Cricetulus griseus: one gene and its partners. The protein of the gene in region 5 interacts with the protein of the main gene of each other region in a pairwise test. Links are inferred from orthologs where the notes say so. Each region holds a gene or a part of one and is shown on either strand. Other genes may lie near its edges.

What was found.
Region 1: the proteins of Tnik (region 5) and Agtpbp1 interact in a two-hybrid assay, tested with the Homo sapiens proteins (2 studies listed by BioGRID and IntAct). The link is inferred for Cricetulus griseus from reciprocal best matches to the Homo sapiens genes TNIK and AGTPBP1.
Region 2: the proteins of Tnik (region 5) and Pafah1b1 interact in a two-hybrid assay, tested with the Homo sapiens proteins (2 studies listed by BioGRID and IntAct). The link is inferred for Cricetulus griseus from reciprocal best matches to the Homo sapiens genes TNIK and PAFAH1B1.
Region 3: the proteins of Tnik (region 5) and SWI/SNF-related matrix-associated actin-dependent regulator of chromatin subfamily E member 1 interact in a two-hybrid assay, tested with the Homo sapiens proteins (2 studies listed by BioGRID and IntAct). The link is inferred for Cricetulus griseus from reciprocal best matches to the Homo sapiens genes TNIK and SMARCE1.
Region 4: the proteins of Tnik (region 5) and Gse1 interact in a two-hybrid assay, tested with the Homo sapiens proteins (2 studies listed by BioGRID and IntAct). The link is inferred for Cricetulus griseus from reciprocal best matches to the Homo sapiens genes TNIK and GSE1.
Region 6: the proteins of Tnik (region 5) and Clu interact in a two-hybrid assay, tested with the Homo sapiens proteins (2 studies listed by BioGRID and IntAct). The link is inferred for Cricetulus griseus from reciprocal best matches to the Homo sapiens genes TNIK and CLU.
Region 7: the proteins of Tnik (region 5) and Dpysl2 interact in a two-hybrid assay, tested with the Homo sapiens proteins (2 studies listed by BioGRID and IntAct). The link is inferred for Cricetulus griseus from reciprocal best matches to the Homo sapiens genes TNIK and DPYSL2.

What each region holds. Positions count from the first base shown.
Region 1 is NC_048596.1:278,623,116-278,627,263, forward strand, and holds the start of Agtpbp1 (cytosolic carboxypeptidase 1), read right to left. Parts: upstream 2,801-4,148; 5' UTR 2,722-2,800; coding exon 2,671-2,721; intron 1,376-2,670; coding exon 1,312-1,375; intron 507-1,311; coding exon 360-506; intron 1-359. UniProt on the Homo sapiens protein: Metallocarboxypeptidase that mediates protein deglutamylation of tubulin and non-tubulin target proteins.
Region 2 is NC_048600.1:88,139,100-88,142,599, forward strand, and holds part of Pafah1b1 (platelet-activating factor acetylhydrolase IB subunit alpha), read right to left. Parts: intron 1,966-3,500; coding exon 1,881-1,965; intron 1,641-1,880; coding exon 1,566-1,640; intron 654-1,565; coding exon 447-653; intron 1-446. UniProt on the Homo sapiens protein: Regulatory subunit (beta subunit) of the cytosolic type I platelet-activating factor (PAF) acetylhydrolase (PAF-AH (I)), an enzyme that catalyzes the hydrolyze of the acetyl group at the sn-2 position of PAF and its analogs and participates in PAF inactivation.
Region 3 is NC_048600.1:113,358,705-113,362,204, reverse strand, and holds part of SWI/SNF-related matrix-associated actin-dependent regulator of chromatin subfamily E member 1, read right to left. Parts: intron 1,351-3,500; coding exon 1,178-1,350; intron 476-1,177; coding exon 374-475; intron 1-373. UniProt on the Homo sapiens protein: Involved in transcriptional activation and repression of select genes by chromatin remodeling (alteration of DNA-nucleosome topology).
Region 4 is NC_048596.1:197,195,858-197,199,357, reverse strand, and holds part of Gse1 (genetic suppressor element 1), read right to left. Parts: intron 2,407-3,500; coding exon 2,293-2,406; intron 1,607-2,292; coding exon 1,235-1,606; intron 248-1,234; coding exon 1-247.
Region 5 is NW_023276806.1:120,727,922-120,731,910, forward strand, and holds the start of Tnik (TRAF2 and NCK-interacting protein kinase), read right to left. Parts: upstream 2,801-3,989; 5' UTR 2,393-2,800; coding exon 2,336-2,392; intron 1-2,335. UniProt on the Homo sapiens protein: Serine/threonine kinase that acts as an essential activator of the Wnt signaling pathway. Recruited to promoters of Wnt target genes and required to activate their expression. May act by phosphorylating TCF4/TCF7L2.
Region 6 is NW_023276807.1:220,972,902-220,975,116, reverse strand, and holds the end of Clu (clusterin), read right to left. Parts: intron 2,188-2,215; coding exon 1,958-2,187; intron 1,163-1,957; coding exon 987-1,162; intron 726-986; coding exon 716-725; 3' UTR 501-715; downstream 1-500.
Region 7 is NW_023276807.1:221,889,561-221,893,768, reverse strand, and holds the start of Dpysl2 (dihydropyrimidinase-related protein 2), read left to right. Parts: upstream 1-1,408; coding exon 1,409-1,750; intron 1,751-4,208.

The DNA of each region.
Region 1 (4,148 bases), on a different chromosome or scaffold from region 5:
CACACTGTGACACTGGCATTCTTCCTCTTTTATACCACATTCAAAACAACTCTTTATGAATCTTGTGACCCTCAGTTCTTGCTGGCTAACTGCAAAAACACTCCACTGTTAAACCCAAGAAAAAGTAGTGCTTTACATTTCAAAAATGTAAGCAGCTTAAGATTAAAGATTCTCCAGGGCAGCACTCAAGAGGCAGAGGAAGGTGGATTTCTGTAAGTTCAAGGCTAGCCTGGTCTACAAAGCAAGTACTAGGACAGCCAGATTACACAGAGAAACCCCATATCAAAAAATAAATAAATAAATATTAAAAGTTACAAAGGTGGTTCTGGATTTAATAACCATAAAAATGGAACTCTTACCTTTTGGTCCAATCTTCGCAAGAATGGAATGAGTCTGCACCATTAATTCCTCATGTGGGGGGGATTCCTTGCTGGCATTCATAAGCAGTTGTAACAATATTTGTGGACCACCTTTGGCAACTAAGAAACTTGCTCTTCGACCTCCACCTAAAATGCAAATATATATATAAATACACACACACACACACACACACACCCATATATATATATATATATATATCAGCACATCCTCCCACAGTGGGCATCATAATTAGTTAGCATTCAAAAAAAGTTTCAATCCAATCATTAATTTCTAAAACTAAATACTATCAAAATCATATTTTGTGTTTTGGTTACAGGATCCCATTATAGCCCAAATCCGCCTTAAAATTTGTGTTCTCTCTGCACCAGGCTTGCAAATGCTGGAAAGACAGGCATGTGCCACCATACTCAGCTCCTATTTTGTTCTGTTCCAGTTTTTTATCTAAAATGCAGCATACAAAAAAATAACACAAATGATACCAACACTCTAGGCTCAAGGTGCTATATAAGTGCTATATAAGTAGGCAAGGATAATTTGAGAAGTGTCTGAGGACACTGAAAAGAAAGCACTGCCCTGGAGAGATGGCTCAGTGGGTAAGAGCCTGCTGTGCAGTCGTAAGGCAATCCCAGCTACCCGAATAATAAGCTGTGGACAGGACAGGAAGGTCAATGGGACATGCTGGCTAACCATCAGGCTGAAAACCTTAAGTTCTGGATTCAGACCCTGCTCAAGGGAATAAGGTAGAGAGTAGCAAAGTCCAACATTCCAAGCCTTCCTTCCGGCATACACATATTCCCCACGCCCTGACACAGGGAGCAACAAGCTCATGATGTTTCATTTCTAAAATTTTAATGTCAAGAAACATTAAATAAAGTACATAGGACACAAAGCTGGTCACTATTTACAAGCACAAAGTAAATCAAAACTCACCAGAAGATACCAACTCCACAAGAATGCTTAGGATATTAAGTATAGTTTGAAGATCTTTCGTGTTCTGAAACAAACAGTTGATTTGCTTTATTAAAACACTATTTTCTTTATTTCAAATGTTTTAACCTGCTGGTAACTACCTATGTCTAACAAATGACCTTTCTAATTTCTTTAGGCACAATTGTATTGACTTCTATACTTTTATTAAAACTTCACTATCTTCATCATTTTTCTGACAGTTACTTATTTCTGTATGTAGAGGTAGGCATGGAGTTCCTGGGACAACTTGCACACATGGATTCTCTCCTCTCCCATGTGGATCCTGGGACTTGACCTGAGGTAACCAGCTCCAGCAGCAAGAGCTTTAACCTGCTGGGCACCACACTGAGCAGCTCACAAGCACCCAGACCTCCAGCTGCAAGGGACCCAGCACCTCCAACCTCCATGGTACCCACTCTCACACGCCCATACACACAGATACGCACATATAATTAAAATAATACCCCTGGTAGTGGATTAGTATTGTTCCCTGGTGCAAGAAGGGACTTTGAGAGCCCATCCCACGTGAAGGGTTACACTCTTGGCCTGGACACATGGGGAACGGCCCAGGCCCGGCCCAGGATGATGCAGTGGACTTTGTGGAGCCCCCATTGAGGGCCCTACCCTGCTTGGGGAGTGGAGAGGGGATGGAGTGGGGAGCATGTGGGGGCTAGGAGGAGGTTGGAGGGGAGGGGAGGGAGAGGGAGAAGGGATTGACATGTGAAACAATCTTGTTCCTAATTTGAACTAATAAAAAAAAATTTTATGGCAATGTGCCCATATATATGCACAAATATTTGTCAACTTTTTAAAATAATAATAATAATAATAATAATAATAATAATAATAATAATAATAATAATAAGTTCTTTACTAAAAAAAAAAAAAAGACAAAAATTCAAGGCCAGCCAGATGGCTCTGCAGGGAGAGGCGCTTGCTGCACCAGCCTGGGAGCCCTGACCCTCAGAGCCCACATAAAGGCGGGGGGAGGACCAATGCCACCACACTGTCCTTTGGCGCCCACATGTGCCATGGCAGGTGTGCCTTACTACACATACACAATAATAACAAATTGTTTAAAATATCTAACATGAAATTTTAGTTATTTTAACCATTGGGAAATATATGTTTACATAACACATAATAGTGCTCTCACATGTGTATGCTCATTTCAATATCCCTCCAGCTCTGTGTGTGCGTGTGTGCGTGCCTGTGTGTGCCTGTGTGAGTGTGTGTGTGCGTGAGTGTGTGCATGCATGCGTGCGTGAGTGTGTTAATAACTCCGACACTCTTCCTGTGACAGCTGGATCACTAACATACCTCTAATGTTGACAACAGAACTTCTATGCCTGTAGAACCTTTGGTTGTCATTTCCCTCCTTGTTTTTTCTGAAAGATAAAAAATAATTTCTTTAAATGTGAACCAAAAAAAACAAAAAACAAAAAAACCATAACAGTTTGTTACATACAGATGACACTGTAAACAATGTAAGCTGACTCTTGGATGTTAATCCCTCTAATGCTACTAATTCTATACTGTGGATGTGATTCCATTTTCTATTAATGAGACTTTCTCTTCTTAAATATCATGGACTATGGTAAGTCCCCATCAATCCTTCCAAAAATCTTAAAGTTAGAACTAGCAGTGAGTTGTTATGGAAGTAGAAATTATGATGGAAGGCTTTTTTTTTTTTAATCATTATGAGCAGAACTGAAAAACAGCTCATCAAAATGAGTGATAGCAGAAATCTAGGGCCACCGTCAAAATTTCCACTGCATTAATTCTAATTAAAAGTCTGAATCACAAGAGTGAACCACCTAAGGAAGGGCTACACTGTGAGAAGCTGAAGCCACCATAGCAATGACTGTCCTTACCACTGGGATGGGAACTGTGCAAATACTTGTGTTTACTCACAAGTCCCTGCATCTTCATCACAATTCTTTGATTCACAGGAGCTACTGTGCTTAACAAGAACCAAGCCCTCCCATCGCATGCATTGCACCCTCATCATTAGTCTCTGCCACGGAACAGGAGGGCTGAGAAGGGGTCTGTATCACGTCATCCAGTGAATGAATGAGGCAGACAAGGTGACTCTCAGGGCCGCTAAGCACTCTGCAGACTTCCCAGAGGAACGGGGATCATTCTTTGACACCAGCATTGCATTTGGAGGTTTGGAGCCCTTCCTACTTTTCCAGACTTGGGTATTAATGTCAGAAGTCTGTTAATGTGGGGACCATGACATTAATCTCAACATTCTGAGATCTGAAAAAAGGAAGACAAGGGATCCACCCTCAACGTGGTATATCCTCTACAATTAAGGATCAGAGACAGGAGGACTAAATTCTGTGTTTCACATGGAGATTGTCAAGGGAGCTGAGGGTTAGAGGCCTGCATGACAGGAAAACATCGACTGAAGGGGTGAGAAAGACGAACACCACACCCTTCCCTGAGGGCTTCAAGTCTCTCACATTCATCTCTCCCTCTACCGCCTTCTTTTGTGTTGATTTTTTAAAACTTAATTTAAGTTCTACTCTGAGTGTTTTCTTTAGAATTTAGTTCTGCTTCCTATCATGGCCCATGTTTGCTCAGGGGAGATGCTCTCACATGGGAATCATTAGAGGGACAAATGTATGCAAAGATCTCAGTGTAACACCGTTTGTGACAGTTATTGTATACACCAAACAGTTGTGCAACTGTCCTTAACAGTCACCTCCATCATCTCATGCCCAGTCCATATAACTGTCACAACTTGAAGAAGCCAAACCAGACATCTCCATAAATGTCATACACGTTCATAA
Region 2 (3,500 bases), on a different chromosome or scaffold from region 5:
CCAAATCACTAATTTATACAGTTTCAAAAAGGCAACTGCCACCAAATCTTACATTCCAAGTTTGATTTCCAGAACCCATATAGTAGAAGGGAGAAACAACTCCCATAATTTGTTCTTTGGCAATCACACACATGTAGGTATGCATACATACACAAGGAGCATGAGCACAAAAAAAAAAAACAACAAATAAACAAAAGATAAACTCAGAACTCTCCTCTACTTAGATCCTAATTTTCAAAATCTTTCTTTCACCTAATTTATATCAAGTCTGCCTTACCTGAGTGTGGCGACCCATGACTTTTAATCACAGCATTTAGGAGTGAGAGGCAGGAGGATTTCTATGAGTTCAAGGCCAGTGTGATAGCTAAGAATACTTAGACACAGTCTTTAAAAAAAAAAAACAAACAAACAAACAAAAACAAAAGGAACAAACAAAAAGAACTTGCCTTAATTGTAGCATCTTCTGAAGCAGAGACCATAACACTGAACACAGGATGGAAAATAACTCGAGTGACTGGACTCCTATGACCACTCAATGCGTATTTCTCTGGTGGACGGGGAATCCATTCTTTAGGGTCTCTTTTCTGACCAAGGGGACCACCCGACGTAAATTCTTCTTTTGCTTCATTTAGTTTTGATTCTAATTCCATAACCTTGGGGAGGGAACATGAAGTTAAAGATTCATACTATAACATATTTGGGGTTTTTTATTTGTATGTTTTCTGCTTTTAGGTAGGCTCTCACTATGAAGCTTAGGGTAGCCCAGAATTTATAATCTTCCTGTCTCAGCTCCCAAGTTCTGTAGTTACTATGCCCAGCCCAAACCATTTCACTCAAAGACAATTTTCATTTACATTTATTAACAGAGAAGATCAACACATTTCCCTGGATCCCTTTACACTTGCCATTTTTAGTGGTTTTTTTTCCCCCCTACACCACAGTTATAGCTGGGCTTGTATTAGAACAATGCTATCTATTCCAACTTTTCTTTTCTTCTTCATTTGTTTTGTTTTTCGAGACAGAGTTTCTCTGTGTAGTTTTGGAGCCTGTCCTGGAATTCGTTCTGTAGACCAAGCTGACCTTGAACTCACAGAGATCCACCTGCCTCTGCCTCCCAAGTGCTGGGATTAAAGGCATGTGCCACAACCACCCTACTATATTCCATTTTTTTATATGAAGAATATGTATTTTAAAAATGGAATAGCATTTGTTATTTATGTCTTTCAGGTTAAAAAAAAAAACTCAGAGGTAAGAATAGTTCATATGAGACCACATGTAGTGCTCTTTTCCCATTTCCAAGTAGTTGTGTCCTTCTAAGGGTACAAATGATTCCTTAAGCATCAATTTCTCTGTCAGGACAATACAAATTCAACCAAGGCACTACTCCAGGCTGTATGAGCTACTATGCATCAGTAATAACCTTAAAATCAAAGTTTTTTTGAAGCAAAGGAAATGTTCTTTTTAAGCTCAGATACGAGAATCAGAAGATTAATAATTTATGGTAATGCTTTCAGAAAATTTGTAAGAACACACTGACCACAACAACCTAAAGAAGACTTAGTTACCTTTTTTTGTAATCTAATAACAGATGTCCATTTTTTTTCCAAAAGACCAGCATACTTTTTATCTAATTCTTCATTCTAGAGGAGAAAAGGCAAGATCCTTTAAAAGATGGCTTAACCATGACATCTTTAAACTTAAACATTAAATATATGATTATACAAAAAAAGTAGAAAAATAAGTTCACTGCTAAGTAGAGCACAATAAAAAATGGCAAGGTTTGAATAGCTGAATTGACCTAACTACTGCAAATTTAAGTAAAACTCCACCCATTAACTATACTATGAGTAATTAGAAGACATTAAAAAAATCAAGTATACCATATCTAATTCAGCTTCCTTTTTAAAAACGGAATATGCCTCTTCATAGCCATTTGAACGAAGATAATCTGCTATAGCTCGATTTCTGAAAGAAAACAAATTCAAATAAATCCTAAAAATACCTCATTTCTAAATAAAGAAACATATTAAAAATCTTGGGGTTTTTTTGTTTGTTCTTTTGTTTTTTTTGTTTTTGAGACAGGGTTTCTGTTAGCCCAGGCTAGCCTTGAACTCACAAAGCTCCACCTGATTCTCTCTTTCAAATGCTGCCTCTCTCAAGAACCTGGCTATTAAAATCTATTAAAAAGAGTACTTCCTTCCAAATTATATGAACCTTTCTGGGGGGAAAAATGGATACACCTCCAAAGGTGAACACACACACATTCACTCAACTCACTCATACACAAAATAAATAAATGTAACCATGTACATGCTTGGTGCCTGAGGTGGTCAGAAGTAGGTGTTTGGATCTCCTAGAACTAGAGTTAGAATTGTGAGCTGCAATGTGGGTGCTTATCTTCTGCAGGAACAAGTGCTCTTAACCATTAAGTCATCTTGAAAGCCCCAACAATAGTCTTTTAGTTTGTTTTGTTTGCTTGTTTTTAATTTTAATTTAGTTTTATTTATGTGGATATTTAGCTTGTATGTATGTCTATGCATGTGTGTACAGTGCCCACAGATGCCAGAAAAAGGTTTTGGATAACCTGGAAGTGGAGATGCTAACAGTTACTAACCATCATGTGAGTGCTAAGACAGGTATAGCGATGCTTACCTTTCATACCAGCACTTGGGAGGTAGAGATGAAGAGATCTCTGGGAATTCAAGGTAAGCCTGGTCTACAGAGTCAGTTCCAAGCCATCCTGGCCTACCCTAACTAAAAAACAACAAAGTGCCACAAAAATGCAAAACAGTGGCAAGTAAATTTTAGGAGCAGTAGAATAAATGATTGTTATGGTATGAGAAAGTTATATAGGATTTTTTTCCATATAACTCACTGTAATATAAAAAATACTACTGTTTCTTAAAGTGTTAAAGCACATTCATTAACAAAATATTTTTATATTGAAAAAATTAATTTTAAAGTTTATTTAGAAGAACAAAAATTGTAAAAGGCCTTGAAATATTAAAAAGTAAATAAAAGTTACGTATAATAGAGTCAATCTGTAATCCAGCACTCAAAGAGTTGAGGCAGGAGTTCTGGACCAGCCTTGGCTATATAACAATACTAAAAACTACTTGGTAACTGTTAGACATTTTCCTTTATAAAAATCACAATAATCAACCCCACATAGCTTCAATATTATAGAAATGTAGTAACATAAATTACAGTATAAAGTTAGAAATATTTATATAATCATAACAGTAAGGCGGAGTTTTCGAGACAGGGTTTCTCTGTGTAACTTTGGAGCCTGTCCTGAAACTAGCTCTTGTAGACCAAGCTTGTCTGGAACTCAGAGATCCGCCTGCCTCTGTCTCCCAAGTGCTGGGATTAAAGGCGTGCGCCACCAGCGCCAGGCTCTGAAGAATGACTTTTATTTTGTGTTTTGAGACAGAGGTTCACTATGTAACAGTCCTGTCTGTCCTGGAAATCACTTTGTAGAGCAGGCTGGTCTCAACTTC
Region 3 (3,500 bases), on a different chromosome or scaffold from region 5:
AAGTTTTTTTTTTTTTTTTTTTGAGACAGGGTCTCTCTAAGTAGACCAGGCTGGCCCTGAACTCACTGAGATTCTCTTACCTCTACCTGGGATCAAAGGTACATAGCACCACCCCTAACTGAACTACAGTTCTAATGAAAACATCTATGAATAAATTACAATAAAGTGAAAATAATTCACGATGTAAAGATTTTAAACAAAAGCATTAGCGGGCTCTATTGTCTGTGGGCCTACTCCTTAAATGTATACTACACGATACCTCAAATTTATTGTAATTTTTCCAGAAAATGGGAACACTTTTATAAAGACAGTACAAGTTACATTGTGACGTAACAGGCACATGATAAAGGCAGTCAGTGAATGGAATAGGTACCCTTTTAAGCTCATTATTAAAGGAATCCGTGCTTTCCAGGAATTTCCTCTTCTTTTCCTGGTGTCGCTCCTCTATCTGAAGGAGTTCAGCTTCTAGTTTTCGCTGCAAGGTATCAGACCAGATTATGAACCATTATACGTTTTCTCTAAGGCAGATGTAAAGCACACAGAGAATGTCATTTTAAAATTAGCTTATGCTTTAAAGTACACTTTTGTATTTTTAATTATGTGTATGTGGTATATACACAAGAGTAGGTGCCCAGGGAGACCACAAGAGGGTGTTGGGTTCCCAGGAGCTGGAGTTACAGGTGGTTGTGAGTCACCTCACACAGGTTCTGGGAACTGAACTCAGGTTCTCTGAAGAGCAGTATATACCCTTAACCACTAAGCCATCTCTCTAGCCCACTAATTTTGCATTAAAAAAAAAAATCATCTAGTATAAAATCTAGCTATTATTTTAAAAATGTAACACAGGGAAAGACTACCATTAACACTATGTTAATGAGTAAATTCTTTGGGAAAATCATTTTATAGTAATAGAGCAAAGGCTGATGGGGTGCCCCCAAATTCTTTAGTTTGCACCCATCTTTTAAAAGATATACTTGTCACTACAATGTTATATTTACAATTTTCAATGACAAACTTACTAAACATCTGGAATGGCCCTCTCCCTTAAGCTTCTTTCTCAAGTCAGGCACGGATGACACGACTTCACAGGTTTACTTACACACTGTGTCAGAGCCATGTCACCTGGGATGTGTGGCACAGCTTCCTTTTATTATAACAAAAGCTCTTCTGCCCTTACCTGATGAACCATTAAAGACTGGACCTGTCTCTTGAGGACCTGCATTCTAGCTGTTGTGACAACCGACCGCACATCAGGCACCACACTCTCACTGAGGATCTCACTGATGAGGCGGTGGTTTCTCTGGAAACGGGCGGTGGCTGTATGCTTCATCGAAAAGCCATCATCATAATCTGGATGAAGGAAATATTCTAGAAATTAGGTAGCCAGTAACCACAACCATGTTAAGAAGCAGTTATCAAGTGTGGTCTTCAATGTCCTAGCAAGTGGACTTGCTCAGTATCAGGGGAGTAGGGCAGGTCCACAGTTAGAACCACACAGAGACAGAAGACTCAGCCAGCTGAAATGTTGTCTCCATAAAGTTAGTAAGGCAGGATTCACAACCCATGGGTCACAACCCCGGGTTGGGCACCTGAACGACCTTCTCACAGGTTGCATATCAGATGTCTGCACTGTGATTTGTAACAGTAGCACAATTAGTTATGAAGTAGCAACAAAATAATTTTATGTTGGAGGTCACAAAATGAGGAAGTGTATTAACAAAGGGTTGCAGCATTAGGAAGATTGAGAACCACTGTACTAAGGGATGATTTGAGTCTGAGGTTTGGTTAGAACACAAACAACATATGTCCATATCTCTTTTAGCCCTGGGATCCATGTGAAGCCTGCATGTGATGACAGCACTTGAAATTCTGCCAAATATTCCACTCTCCAGTAATGACCGCAGACATCTGATAAATGCTGAACTGTAAATAGGTGGTATCTTTATCACAGCTGTTAAAATTAATGAAAATATCCACCTGAAAAATTAGCTTATCACCATCTTCTCTAGCAATATTTTGTTTTCCAGGCAGTACTTATGGTTTATTACATTAAAAATGGTAAAGACCCAAACTAATGTTATAGAAAAAACAACAACTTGATTTCAAGGCTAGGAGAGGGTTCACTTGATAAAGGGTTTGCCAGGCAAGCACGAGGATCTAAATCTGGATCCCAGCCAGCATTAAGGAAATGCTGGTTGTGGCAGATTTCAGAAGGCTCTAGCTAAAACAGCAAGTTCTAAGTTCAGAGAAACTCTATCTCAAAGTAAGGCAGAAAAGAAACTGAGGAAGCAAACTGACTCCCACATATGCCCACAAAAAGGTGGAGACTGAGGAAGAGACCCAACATCGACACACACACGGACACACACTACACACTCAGAGATACTTGAGTCTAAATTTATAAACATGCACATGGCTGTTACTAGGCACAGAGTAGACATTTGTGTTATTTTGGTGTGTGATGCATGCATGCCTGTTTCAGCCTACTGGACCATCTCTTGAGCCCAGGGTGTGATTTTTTTTTTTTTCTTTTTTTTTTCTGACACAAAATTTACTGTGTAGCCCAGGCTGGCTTTGAACACTCATCAGCCTCCCTGCCTTAGTTTCTAAAGTGCTGGGATGGCAAGTGTGTACTACCATACCCAGCATGTATGCGTATTTCTAGTAACACAAGTGTTTCCTTTATCTGCTTTATCACCTTCAATACCTGGTAGCCATCTGTACTAATAGCTACTTAATATTTTTCTTTACATTAACTCACTAAACAAAGCAAGTTTTCCATCCAATATAGATAGAAATAAAGGTTGTCACGGAACCACCCAATCCTCTTAGTGTCTCACAGAGGTCTAGGTGTCACGCTTAAGGAACCCAGTTACACAAAGGCCTGCACGTTGAACATAATGGTCTCTGAAGACCTTTACCGTCTTGGTGAATCAAGCTCTGCCTTGTGGGCCTTCTGATAGTTCTCTAAGAAGTTAGCAGATGCTGTCCTCATCTCTTGATGAGTGGCTCCTATCTTTCGGTTTTCTTTACATTTCTACTTTTCAAGTCCTAGAACAGTGGTTCTCAACCTATGGGTCTTGACTCCCTGGGGTGGGTGGGTGTGTGTGTGTGTGTGTGTGTGTGTGTGTGTGTGTGTGCGCGCGCGCACGCGCGCATGCGTGCGCGTCAAAGGACCCTTTCACAGGGTCACATGTCAGATGTCCTGCATATCAGATATTTATATTACAATTCATAACAATTATGAATAACAATAACAAAATAACTGTAATTCAAAATTACAGTTATGAAGTAGCAATGAAATCATTTTACGGTTGGGGTTACCACATAAACTTTACTAAAGGGTCAAAATGTTAGAAAGGTTGAGAACCACTGTCCTAGAAGGTCATATTATATCAATACAGCTTAATTATTATATTCCATGTTACTGCTCATGTAAGAGCCTTTCAAACTTAGTTTTGACTGTTACATTTTGCTTAGGAAATATTTTATTTTCTACA
Region 4 (3,500 bases), on a different chromosome or scaffold from region 5:
GCCTCAATCCCTTGCCACTGGCGCCTGGGGGCTTCCTCAGCTTCCTCTTCACTGTCATCTTCATTGTCCTCCTCAGAGTCCTGGTCCACCTCCTGCATAGGGGGACCCTTCCTCCCAGCTGGCGGCTCCTGTTGTCCATTGTGCTGGGGCAAGGGAACCCGGCTGGAGGACTGCAGCTCAGGAATGTTGTAGTGGACTGACGTGTCGACCTTGTGGTTCTGCTCTGCAGACAGCACAGCTGAGCTTCCTGGGGAGGAGAAAATGAGGATCTTGAAGGGCAGGGCTCAACTGAAAGTCATCCATGGAGACAAACATGCACCAGAGTTCCGATCCCATGGGCACATCTGTAACTTTGTAAGCACAGCCTCCTTCATGAGGGCAGGGCAGAGGTGTTCCCTGACCAAGACATGGACTGTCCCTCTAGAAGGAGATGGCTCAGTCTTGCTGGTGGCCTCACTTGAAAACTATTAAGCAACGTGTCCCTTAGATGCCACTTCAAAGAGCCTGTCCATTTTAAGGAGCAGGGAGCAATCTGCTGCCTCTGGCCAAAGCACCATCTTTCCAATAAACTCACAAAGACCCAGTTAGCACCTCTCTCCTGGGGCTTTTCCTCACAGGTGAGGCAACATGAGGCCAGAGGTCAACTCTGGTTTTCTTCCTCTATTGCTCTCCTGTTTTGTTTAGTCTGGCTGGCCAGCAAACTTCAGGAATGCTGCCTCCGCCTCTAACCAGCCACCTGAGCTCTTGCCTTTGCTTCCTGGGCTCCAGCAGCAGAGTCAGCTCAGTGACACACTCTGTCTGTGAGCTTGGTATGAAGCCGTTAACATGGACTGGAGGGCATGGTGACTGAATTATTCCTGCTGGGGGAGCAGGGCAGGAAAACTGCTATCCCTACAATCACTGGGCCCTGGGGGGATGGACACACAGTACCTTGGCAACGAACCAGAAAAGATCTCCAAGTGAGTTTATGTGGTTGTTGGAAAGGTCACTGCTGTGGACTGCACTCGCACAGAGGACACTTGCTCTGGCCTTACTGAACTGCCATTTGCTAACTAAGGTGCGTGGTTCTTGACCAGGTGCTTTAGGTCCTGCTACAAGTCTGAAAGAAGCTGAGGTTCACCTCACCCACTCCCATGCCCAGTGAGACCTTTAATGCTTTACAGGCATTAAAGTTTAAGAGGTACTATTAATACGTGAATGGCCTAACAGGTGACGGGGGCATGTGGCCTGTTACCTTTATGTTTCTGCAGAGCCTTCTGTGTGGACTGCAGTACTGACTCATGGAACTGATGTGCAAACTCTTCTGCCATGAAGGGTTCCCAAGGCTTGCTCTTCCCATTGATGCTGTGGGACAACGGCACAGGAATGTCCTTGGGCGCAGCGCCCCGGAGATAATGAAGCATGCTCAGGTTCTTCTTGCCCCCGGGGGCCTCACTCAGCCTGGCCTTCTCACCGCTGGTAGGCGCTGGCTCCTGGACCCTCAAGAGCTCCTGAGGCCGGAGCTGTTCCAGTCTCCCAGTCTCCACGGCCTTTGGGACATCTGACAAGGAGGCAGGGACTCCGGCAGGTTGATCTGTCTCTAGAGGAGCTGGCTGTGTGGCTGGTTCTTTGAAAGACAGAAAATGAGGGAAAGAAAGGTTATAAGTTGTGGAAAAACAGGCACAAGGACCCTGTTGACCGCTAGAGCTTACATCTGCAGAAAGGAAGACCCAGTGTGAACATCCTATGTTAACACTGCATGAGGCTAGAGTCTGAAGAGTAGCATGTTTAGCAGCAAGTCCAACTGTGAACAGTTCCCAGAAGACAGGTGGGGAGAAAGAGCAGCAGGAAGCGCTGAGAAGGCAGGAGTAAGTAACTTCATCCAACTTAGGGAGATCAGGTGAAGAGGCAGCAAGAGATGGGACCCCAAGGCTTCAGCTTCCTTCAGCTGGAGAGCAGCAGAGAGGAGTAAGAGAGCAGGTGTCTGGAGAGCCAGGCAGGGTCTGTAGCACAACCTCCGCTGGGGACAACACTCCAGGGGCTTCGGGCCCATTCTCTGGGGGATGACAGCTACGGCCCGCAGCTGATGGGCAGCTCCATGAAGTCAGCGCCCTCCCCTGAACTTCAAGCCCACTTTCTAATTTGCATTGTGTCCTAAGGCACAACCAGGATGGTGGTGGACCACACAAGAGGGTTGGAGAGAAGCCCAGCTTCCAGTAGGTCAAGTTCACCACGAAGACAAGACTTTGAGTGCCACTCTAACCCTGTGGCGCAAGCTACAGGACACTTGAGGGTGGGGTGTCCTTCCCTTACCACTCAGGGAGATGGAAGGACTGTCCCTCGAGGAGTTTGTCACTGAGTCTGCCACTGCTGCGGACAGTGCCCTCTGCTTCATGGCACGGAGCATTTCAACAAGCCTCTCTCTGTCTGTGAGGAAAGTAGCCCGAGGTTAGCAGTACTTCTGGGAGGGAGGAAAGGCGGGGTCTGGCCACCGTGATCAGCAAGTACAAGCCCTTTACACCAAGAGGCACCAAAGGCAAGCACCATGGCTGGCTGTGCAGACAGGAAGAAGCAGGTGACAGCAGCAGACTCTTTCCCTGCATGGCTCACACTCCAGGCAGCCACATCTATAGCCATGAGCAGCAGCTGCCTGGGGGCTTCCACGCTGACTTCCTTCTTAGCAGATAATCTGGTTTGAAGACCAGGGGTGGCCCCAACACAAGGGCACCACCCCCAGAGACCAGGAAGGGAGCCATTTCCCGCGAAGGAGAGCAGACCCTACAGTGCTCCATGCCGAAGATTCCCGTTTAGGTGACTCTTCCTGCCAACTCTGAAACTTAAGAGGCTTTAGTACTGATGGCGTCCTTTAGACACGAAGCCAGGTGAAAAGTCGGGCTTGCAAACAACTAGGCATGTGTCCAAGGGCTTGTGCTGGCAGTCAGCCCGTCACCAACCCTTGCTGGGAAAGTGAGACCTCCACCATGCTTGTTAAAAAAACGGAAAAAGGAACTGCCAACTCCAATAAAGAGGAAGCATGTCAAACCAACTGAAGACCTAGAGAGGCACTGTTTTCCTGGAACTCTTTGTGGAAGAGGCCAGTGCCCTTAAGGGGCCCAAGACATACAGGAGCATGGCTGTGTACATCAATGCTCTAGCCCACGACGGTGGCAAGCTGATCAAGGAGGCCTCAGCATGTTGTGGCCACACCGTGTCTTCTATGCTATGGATTCCAGTTCCAAGTCTCTTTTTTCCAACATGGCCCTAGGATAGCAGACTGATCTGGAAGCATCTTTCTGGGCAAGTTGTTGAGTGCTTACTGTGAGTTGGCTGGGCTTGGTATTCACAGGCCACCCATATGGCTTGCTCTCCAGGCCTCCTAGCATTAAAAGCAGTGCTCCGTAGAGCTCACTGGTGTCCCCAAGGGGAAGGGCCTGTGGTATGCAAACCTTTAACACCCTACAACAGGAAGCAACACCTCCTCTCAGTCCTAGTGAAAGCCCTGGAAGTACTCTGTTCAAAGA
Region 5 (3,989 bases):
TAGCCCTGGGAGGCAAACGTACCTGCACGCCTCACCCACCACAAGACTGCCTGAAGCTCCAAGGCCTGCTGAGTACAACTGTCTGCCCATCTGCAGAAGTCTTTCAGCCATCAGCTCCCAGGCACAGGGAGTAGCTGTTGTCCTAGCTCTTTGCATACCCCAGTGAAGGCAGAGGATCCTTTGAGCTTCCCAGGTGACAAAGAGCAATCCTAGTGAATCATGCAAAGATACCTGTTCCAAATACAGATTACAGGACACAGGTCTCCCTGAATGAGAATCTAGTAGCCCTGAGGACAGGTTCTGTGCGCTAGGCATCTCAGAAAATCTGGCCCACAGGAGCCATACACCCGCCCCCCAACTTAAAAATCATGTCAGGGAGAATGATGCTAAGATTCTGTCTCAGCTAAATCACAAGCCTGGCTCATTGTTCAGGCAGCTACCACTTGGCCACTCCTCCTTCCCCAAGTCTGGGCCACTGGTCCAGGCAGAAGTGGAGCAAAAGAGAGCACAGTGATAAGAGAGTCACACATGCACTGGCCCAAAGCACCCACTCTGAGCCCCACCCCCACACTCAGTTGCCCCCTGGTTGCGGATGTGGCCTTTGGGCACTAGAGGAACGGACAGCCTACTGTAATCATGCATGAATGAGCTTTTGCTGCTCCACTATCACTGCAGCCCGCAGCCGGTTTCAAAGGGCAGTCAGTCAGTCCTCAGCCTGCCTCTCTGAATCCTCCACCTTTCTGGACCAAAAGATAAGGAAAGGGCCAAGGATTCAAGGTGTGGGCGGAAAAGTGGCTCTGAGCCTAAGGAAAAAGTATCACTTCAATCAGACAGGTAGCTACCTTTTAAAAATGTCTGTAGAGAAAGAGGTAACTGCAGGAAAAGCTTCCGAGACACAGGTAAATGGCCTCGAGATTAAGCATCATCAATCTAACAATGTGTTCAGGAAGATCACTCAACTTCCACCTATACTGACAGTCGGTGACATGAGCCACCATCCCTTCAGTCTCACCTACCCTACTGGCAACAAGCATATGCATTTGCTCTTTATTTTATTTTTAGTTCAGGAGAGGAAGAAACTAGTCGTACTGAGATTGGTGTCCAATCTTTCTCAGATCCCTGCTGCTGCCACCATCACCACCCCTCCTTACCCCCTTCCTGGCAGGCAGCATCTAATTAAAATGGCAAGAACGCTGGGCTCCCTTCCCCGAAGGAGTGTGCTGGGATTAGGGGTGGGGGTGGGGAAGCGTCGAAGCTGCAATGGGGTTCCTGGCAGTATGATCTCCAAACAACAGCAAAATGGATTCTAGATCACTAAAGTCTTATTCAATACAATGGAACGACGTCTGAGGTGTCTCGGAAGAAGGTAAAGGCAAAGCGGCAGAGTTGGGGGAAGGGAAGGTGTTCTACAAAGGACTGGTCACAGACCCGGGAACCACACACACACACACACACACACACACACACACACACACACACACACACACACACGCACACACAGTCTCTCCAGGGAGTTCCGGTGTGGTAGGGAGAAGCTGCTAAAGCGTCCCTTTCACCTGCTGAAGTTCAGCCATAAAACTGAAAGGTCACAGTCACCGAGTTAGAAAGGCATAGGCAGGGCTGAGTTCAAACCGCAGATAAAGGTGAGTGCACCCTGGCGTCGAGGGAAGCGCTGAGCCTGAGCCCCCGCACCAGAGGCAGAACCCGGGAGGGGTCAGTTGCCATCTACTAGACCAGCCCGGAACAGCAATTACTGCCCCCTTGGAGCGACAGGGTCGGCTGGTGGAGACAGCTAGACTCACGATGGCATCTTGCAGGTAGCTGGCAAACCTGAGAGGCCAGTGCCTTTATTCTTGAGGAAATTCTTTTTGCAGCAAAGAGCAGTCGGGTCTCGAGCCTTGGCAAGAGACAGTTGCTCGGGTACACACACACACACACACACACACACACACACACACACACACACACACACACACACACACACACACACACACACACACTCCTTCCATGTAATTCTCTTACACCAATCGAAGATGAAACTGACATAAGCTCCACCGGCTTCCCTGCGGAGCCTCGGGAAGCACAGTCGAGGAGCACAAGGGCAGCCCAGCCCCTGCTGTAGGGTAGGGGCTCAGCCTAGAACCCCATCCGCTGCCCTGGAATCAGGATAGGAAGACCGGGAACGTTCCCTCGCCCAGCCCCAGACCATTGAAAAGAAAGGGGGGAAAACAAACAAACATACACACACACACACACACACACACACACAAAAAAAAAAAAAAAAAAAAAAAAAAAAAAAAAAAAAAAAAAAAAAAAAAAACCACGTTCTGCTCACCCTCAGGGCGGAGAGATCGATTTCATCCAGGCTGCGAGCTGGGGAGTCGCTCGCCATGTCGACTCTTCGCGGGAGAAATGGACCAAAACCAGCCAGAAACGTCTGCCTTGGCAATTCCACCCTGGTCTATGTCGCTCGCGTCCTCATGCGGCTGTCCGCCAGAGAGGCCCGGGGCCCAGCCTCCCCCGCCCACCCGGGCCCCAACCAGAGTGAGATCCCGATCTTCCGAGAGTGTCGATCCGCGGGATCCCGGAGCCCGACCTGCGCGGATCTCCAAGCCCGGAGCCGCGGTGCGTGTGGGCTGCGCGCCCTGATCGGCTAAGGGCGCTGGGGCTGCGTGGGTGTATTTAAATGGGACATGCTTCTTTGCTTGTGCGTGGATGGCGGCTGCATTGGCTGTTATAATGAGACATATCAACTCCTCCACTCAGCTGGGGGGGTGGGGGTGGAGAACCACACAGAACTGTCTATCACCGCTTCCTGGGAGGAGTGGGGGGGAGGAGGCGTGGTCTCCGACTGGGGAGAGGCCGCGCTTCCTGACCGGGTCCCTCTGCACTAGCCTGGGTGGGGGAGGGGCGCGCACCCTTTCCGTCCCAGTTTTTGCGGGTTAATAGTGCTGAATCGAAGAGCAGATCTTGAACCTCGCTGTACAGAGATCCGAAGGCTATTTTTTAATGTGTCCAATTTGTGCAATGCACCAAAATGGCCCTTCGATCGCATCTTGGGGTTTCTTGACTGGATTCAGATGCTCTAATAGTGTAAAGGGTGGTGAGGAAAGGCAGCGGGAAAAGACAGCAGCGTCCAGCCTCCTCCATTAATTATTTGTGGGGCTGGAGTAAAGGCGGGCCGGTGCAACCGGTGCATATAAGGACTTGTGCGCAGGAAAGGGGATCCGCCTCCCCGCACAGAGCGGGTTGGGGAGAAGCTTACACGCGCGGAGCGCGCAGCCTGGCTTTGGCGCTGGGCAGTGGCCGCCTGGTCTCGGTCCTTCGCGGTCCCTGAGTTTCAGGAAGGCAGGTCCGTTTCATCCGTAGTTTTCTCAGCTGGGTGGGTTGGCCAGAAGGTGGAAAGCCTGGAGATGTGAGCTCCGTCTCGACATCGCCACACCCAAGACCTGCGCGTACCGCAATTCCCCATGGAAATGACCGAATTGAAAAGCAAAGCTTGCTCCTTGGGTGCAGTAGCTGGAAGGCTTCAGGTGACTCCCAGAACGACATTAATTGGGCGACACTCCGCCGCCAAAGCCAGCGTTTCCTTCTCTGCTGCTTTTCCCTGGTGACCTACCAGGATTGATGGGGAAAGTTTAGCTCAGAGAGAGGAAGAGCTGACATGTTAGCAATTTGACTTCACCTGCTTTTTAACTCAAACGCTGGGTGTTTGCAGTGGTAACAGGACTTTCTGTTATCAAAAATGTGAAATCACTTCCCCAGCCCCCACAGACCTTCCTCTCTCCTGGTTTGGCCACGCAAAATACGTTTGAAGAAGACATTAATACTGAACTCTCTCCATTCCCTTCATCAATAGCTCCTAGGGTGTTCCTTTCACATCTAAGACAAGAGAACAAGTGCATTGCATTGCGGGTTTGGGTTTTTACTTTGCTTTTTGTTTTGCTTTCTTTGGGGGTGGGGGAAGGACCTCATGTACTTTAGCGTGG
Region 6 (2,215 bases), on a different chromosome or scaffold from region 5:
TGGACAGTGCTGTAATAGGAAGGAATAGTTTCTGGCTTCAGGAATTTGCCTCAGTGGCTTACTGGGACATGCCTCTCTCCCTCAAAGCTAGGGTGTCACCCCTCCTCTGCCCAACTGCCATGATGAGTATTATTTACTCTCCACTATATGGTGGGACCTTACAATCTCAGTCCTTACTCTGAAGGTTTCTTTTGCATGCGTGTGGAGCCCAGAGGTCAACCACGGGTGTTGTTCCCCCAGTCCTTCTCTACCCATGTGTTTTGAGATGAGACCCGAGGCTCACCAATCAAGTGAGACTGGCTCACCAGCAAGCTCCAGGGCCCTCTTTCCTCCACCTTGACCACACTGAGGTTACAAGCATGTGCCATCATGCCTGACTTTACCAAACTCATGTTCTTGACAAGCACTTTACCAATTGACACATTGATTTCTTTGTTTCTTCCCCACACCAAATGAAGGCATGCAGCCAACAAGAAAATCAAGTATGAAAACAGGCCGGGTGACACAGATCACAAGGCGGCTTTATTGGATTAGTTGCGTGGGGGAAGTTCTTCCCAGAAGCAGCAAGTGCAGGCATTAGAGTGCAGAATCCAGAGGAAGGAGAGGCTGCTGGGGTCCCGGCCTACTCGCCTGGAGACATGCGGAGCTCTCTAGGGAGCTGAGGGGGGCCTTCACTCCAAGAGGCCCCCACATACAGGAAAGCAATGCTTCTGTCTCATTCCGCTCTGAAGAAAGGGAATGGAGAAGAGAATCAATATCCCCCCAAGAAACAGCCACCTACACCCACATTCTTACCACCAAGGAAAAGCATTTCCCAGAGCAAAGAAAGGAAAATTCCCAGGGTTTACGTAGCTTACAGAGATAGGCACTGTGCCCAGAATGCACACTCTGCTCCTCGTCTGGACTCCTGAGGCCTTTCCAGCCTCCCAGGGTCTGAAAGGCTTGTTTATCAGTCCCTTAGGGTCACAGAAAGGCTGCCTACTCACCGGCTTTTCTTGCGGTATTCCTGTAGCGCTTTTTCCGCCACTGTGTCCATAAATTTAGGGTTATCCTTGGAGACTTCTTCTGGTAACACCACTGTGATGGGGTCAGAGTCAAACAGCTTCACGACCACCTCAGTGACACGGGAGGGCTCTTCTGAGTTATTAGAGTGGGTTGTCACCTAGGCAGAAGAAGGCAAGCAAGACGTCTCTACACAATGTCTCGAGTATGCCCTTCTTTGCCAAAGGATATGGATCTTCTCTTTGCCCCCTCAACCAAAGACAGATATTCTGTTATCTGTCACTAGTCAAGATGTCTAGACAATTCAGAGCAAAAACATCCCAGTTTGAAAATGACCAGACATTCCAGAAACTTTATTCTCAAATGTTTTCTTGTTATCTTGTCTTATTTCCTTGTTTTTGCTTTGTTTGAGACAGAAGTCTCACTACATAGTCCAGCTGGTCTCAAGCACTTCACCCTTCTGCCTCAGTTTCTTCAGTGGTGGCTTACAGCATGCCTAGCCCCAATGTTTGCTTTGTTGTACAAATGCTAACCAGTCTGTGGTTGAAAGGGTTCAGGTGGTGGGGGTGGGGGGTGGTTCCTAGCACTAAAGGAAGCTGTTCTCACTAGCTGACAATGAACCGATTCATGTGCCACTTAACACAGCCCAGGGTAAGAAAGCAGCTTTGCAGCCAGGCTGATGAGTCAATGACCCAGGGAAGTTGTCCAAAGTTCCCCATTCTTAGTAAGCTGCAGAACTTTTCACTTTCTTTCTCTTGGAAATAGGACTTGGATATCTGACCTCAAAGGGTGAAGGCATTTCAATCCTAAAACAGGCAGAGTTTCCCTAGTCCCTGCCAGTGGAAATCACAGGTGCTCTTGTGTGGTACCTCTGTCCCATTTCACCTCTAAGAGAAACATTATCTCTAGACTACACATGGGTCTAGCCTGAGCACGTGACTGGAACACTACTCACTGTGGAGACGCGAAGGTAGTACTGGTCTTCGCCCTGTGTGAGGTTGGCCAGCTGGGACACCCAATTGAACTGTTCGTTCAGCTGCTCCAGCAGGGATGAGGTGTTGAGCATCTTGGTCTGGAGGGAATGGAGCAGCTCGTTGTACTGCTGGGTCAACCTCTCAGCCATCTGGAGGGAGTCATTCAGCTCCTGGCGCAGGTGAGCCTGCGCAGGGTTGTTGGCTGAACAGTCTGTCCAGAGGGGAAAGAAACAGAAGCA
Region 7 (4,208 bases), on a different chromosome or scaffold from region 5:
CGAACACGAGCACACACCCTCAAATCCCCACACACTTTGGCTGCTAATAATTCACAGCATGTAATCCTCCCCTAAGACGCGATCTACCCCTACCCTTAACGCAAAGCTCTGCCGCCCTAGAGAAGCCTCATCTGGCAACTGCCGGGCACTGGCGCAGTGTGCAACAGGGGCGGGGGAACTAGGCGGGGCGCCTTGAAACAAGATGTGTCTGGAGTGGGCTTCAGTCTGCTTAGGCTCCAACCATTTTGGGTGGGGGCGGTGGTAACCGTGTGTGTGTGTGTGTGTGTGTGTGTGTGTGTGTGTGTGTGTGTGTAGCGGTGGGAGATACCAAATCCCCCTGTTCCTTTCCTGGGTCAGTGGCCTACCTGCAGGGCATGGGACTTTCAGATAATGTTGAGGGTTCTCAGTCTCTATGTTGAGGCGCAGTGCTACGATCCGCAACTTGCATTCTTCTCTATGCTCCTCCATGCACAAGAGGCCTGCGTTTTTCTCCGGGTCATCCCTCCCTTTCGCTACGCCCCTCTGCTTTTTTCGTCCCCGCCATATTGGGAGCCCCACCTCCCGACCACAGCAGCTTCAAGCAATGAGAATATTTTCCTTTTTCTCCGCTCCTTGAAGTCCTCCTCCGCCCCCGCCAAGGTCGTGGGTAAACTGAAGCTTTGGTGTCGGGTACTTGGGTGTTTGAGACCAGCCCTTGCTGTTTCCAGGATCACCCCTCCCCAGCGTCATAACATCCCAGCGCCTGTAGGCTTGACCCTTGGCTCCCCCAACCCTCAGCCTACACCCGGGGACAGGGGAGCTCCAGAGCCACCTTAGCAATGAAGCGAAGCAGGTGGAGGAGAGGGACTCGGGGCCAGGGTCTGCGCCCCCCGGTCCTCGCCCAGCTGTAGCTGTCTGACACTCACCCTGGCGCCGAGAGCGGTCTGCTGGGCGGCCGCTGCGCATCCATTAGCGGGTGGAGTGGCCGCTTCACTTCCGGAGCGCGGGCTCCGGGTGCCCCCCACCCCCTAGTACCCTCCCTTCTCCGTCCCTCCCTCCGTCTCCCCTCCCTTCTGATCGCGCGTTCAGCCCTCCCCGCCCCGCCCCGTGCTGCCGGGAACTGGCATCCTCTGCCGCAGAGACCGCCCGCCCAGATCTAACTTTGCCGCTCGCTCGGAGGTGGCGCGGCGGCGCCGGGGGGCGTGGGCAGGGAGGGAGAAAGCAGGGTCAGGAGGAGGGACCGCGAGGGGTGGGTCGCCGGCTCGCCAGCCCTCCATCCTTTCTGTGCACCTTGCGGTAGGCAGGGAGCAGCAGCCGCGGCGGCAGCGAGGGGCTAGTGCACACCCAGCCAGGGAGACTTAGGGAACCACGGACGGACGGACGGACGGACGGAAGGACGGAGAGGACCCTCCCCAGCGCCCCCTGAGCCATGGCCGATAGAAAGCAATCTGGGAAGGCGGCAGAGGACGAAGAGGTCCCTGCCTTTTTCAAAAACCTGGGCTCGGGCAGTCCCAAGCCCCGGCAGAAATTCTGTGGCATGTTCTGCCCGGTGGAGGGGTCCTCGGAGAACAAGACCATTGATTTCGATTCGCTTTCGGTGGGCCGGGGCTCGGGGCAGGTGGTGGCTCAGCAGCGGGATGTCGCCCACTTGGGCCCGGACCCGCACCGGCAGAGCCGGCGTGGCAGCGGGGAGCCATCTGTTGAATCAGGCCGGAAGGTGGAGATCCGGCGGGCCTCGGGCAAGGAAGCCCTGCAGAACATCTACGATCAGGTTGGTATGGGGGGTGGAGCGGAGAGCGGGGCTGAACCCTGGCATCTCGCGGAGGACCGAGCATCCCCGCGTGGCGGCGGGCACGCGGCGCTTGGAGCTCTGCCTCTCGCATCTGCACGCGCACCGCGCCCTGCCCGCCCCTTCACCGCGCAGGGTGCGGTGAGGCAAGGGTTCGCCGGTGGGCGTCTCAGCGCCTACAAAGGCTGCCCTCGCCTCCCCGTGCCTGGGAGCGTCAGGGACCAGCTGATCCCTAGGCTACAGGCGACGAGTGGCGATTGGGATGGACCACTGTGCTGTTCTTAAATCCTCCCGGGTGGCATCGGATTGCGGCTGTGGCTCAGTGCCCCACCCTTTTTTGATGCAGCTCAAAGAGCGCAGTGGAGGGCTGCAGTGAAGGCCAGACGACTTCCCTGGGGTCGAGGAGGGGAAGGGGCTCATATGGCTCCTCCGAGTGTCAAGGTCTCCGCCTTGGGAGTGCTCTGCACCAGGGTCCTGAGCTCTGAGGTCAGGACCACGGCCAGCGCCCTGAGCGTCTGAACTCGGTTCACAGCCAGTGAAGAGTTGGGGAGGCCGTGATGTCACCGAGAAAAGCTAGATAGCCATGTGGAGAACAAAGTTCTAAGTGTCTCGGCAAGGGCTTCCCAGAGCGCTTCCCCGGTGCTGTTTGGGAGGCACTTTGGGAATGGGGAGAGACTACGTGGATTATATTCAAAGAGCCAAAAAGAAAAGGAAAAAAGAGGGTGGGAGGAGAAGACTTGCATTTGAAGACAAGAGTCCCTGATTGTGTTAATGTCGAGACAAAGAAGTCTAGCTTGGTTATCCGTGGTCATAGAAAATGTTTGACATGGTCCAGTAAATCCCATCAGTGCACATTTCAAGTCCAGTGGTCTTTTCACACACATTTTCCTCCGTTTCAGGGTGACGTTTATGCTCGTATATTTTTTTCACAGCTTTAATGTCTCAACTAATCGTTTACAGTACACAGTGCCTTAATGCTCGATTGCTGCTTCTCTCCCATGCCAGTGGTGAAGACAAGACACCAATCTATGAATGACTTTATATTGAATCCCCATGTGCCTTCCCTTCTAGGGCAGCAGGGAGGTTAGTCCTAAAGGTGCTTCCTTCCAGACAGCCACTGGGAAGTTGGGGACAGTTTGCACACACTCGCTGTGGGACTTGCTTAGCATTCAGATTGTATGCTACAGAGAAAGCCTCGGAGAGCAGCTCTGGGGCAATGATTAGGGTACCACTCCCCTGTTTCCTGACGCAGCAGAGTGTTCTAGCTTTTGTCTTTTCTAGGACTACTTCTAGCACACACACACACACACACACACACACACACACACACACACACACACACACTTAATTTACATCCACCCACCCATCCTCTGATTTTTAAATTTATATTTCACTAAGAGGCAACCAGAGTCTAAATCCCAAAAGCTTGTTTTGTTCCAAGTGATCAATTGAAGTAAAAAGTTTCTTCTTTTCTTTCTTTCCTTTTCCTTCCTTTCTCTCTGTCTCTCTCTTTTGAAAAATAATCTCACTCTGTAGTTGAGACTGGACTTGAACTCATGACAATCCCAGTGCCACCAGAGTGCTGGGATTACAGATGTGAGCCACCATGACCATCGGCTCCATATGTCTGTCTGTCTGTCTATCTACCTATTGCCTATCTATGTGTTTATCTTTTCTTTTCTTTTGTGATGCTGGGGCCTGAACCCAGGGACTAGTGTCTGCTAAATAAGCATCCTATCACTGAGCTACATTTCTAACCCAAGTGTTTCAATATTGTACTTTGTACTGAAGATGGGGTAAGTATAAAATGAGTCCTTATGGGAATATGTTGGCGAAAGTCAAGACCACATAGCACCAAGGTTGAGTGAGCACTCTCAAGTCAGACACGATGTACAGGTCACTCCAACAGCTTAAAGGGAATAGCACCACTCCTGGAGGATCCACAAGAGAACACATAAAAATAACAGATGAAGTGACCTGCATAACAATAGCAGCATAATAACACCAAAAGGCAGGATGATCAGGAGTGATTGTTGGAGCATACCCTAAATTTAACAGAAACTCTAAATTGCAAATCTAGGAAACATGGAGGGGACAATTTGAAGACAAAAGCACCGGCTAAACCCTTAGTTTTAGCCCCTGCAAAGCCATCCCTGCCTCAGCTTCCTGCTCATTAGGTTCTAGAGGTTAGCTCGGCTTTTCTACAGCCCCTCTCACATTTATCAAAAAAGGGGCATTCCTGTGGGATCTTGTCATTCATAACCAGGGGTATTTACCCAGTGTGGTGCTTATGCTGTATGAATTTTTCATGTTTCACGAGAGAGTATGTGTATATGTATAATGATGGTGACTTCAGAAAGCACAGGGGTTCATTGTTTTGTCAGAATCAGTGGTCATTACTTAGATTTAGCTCTTGAGAGGGTGTCTTCAGGCTTTCAAG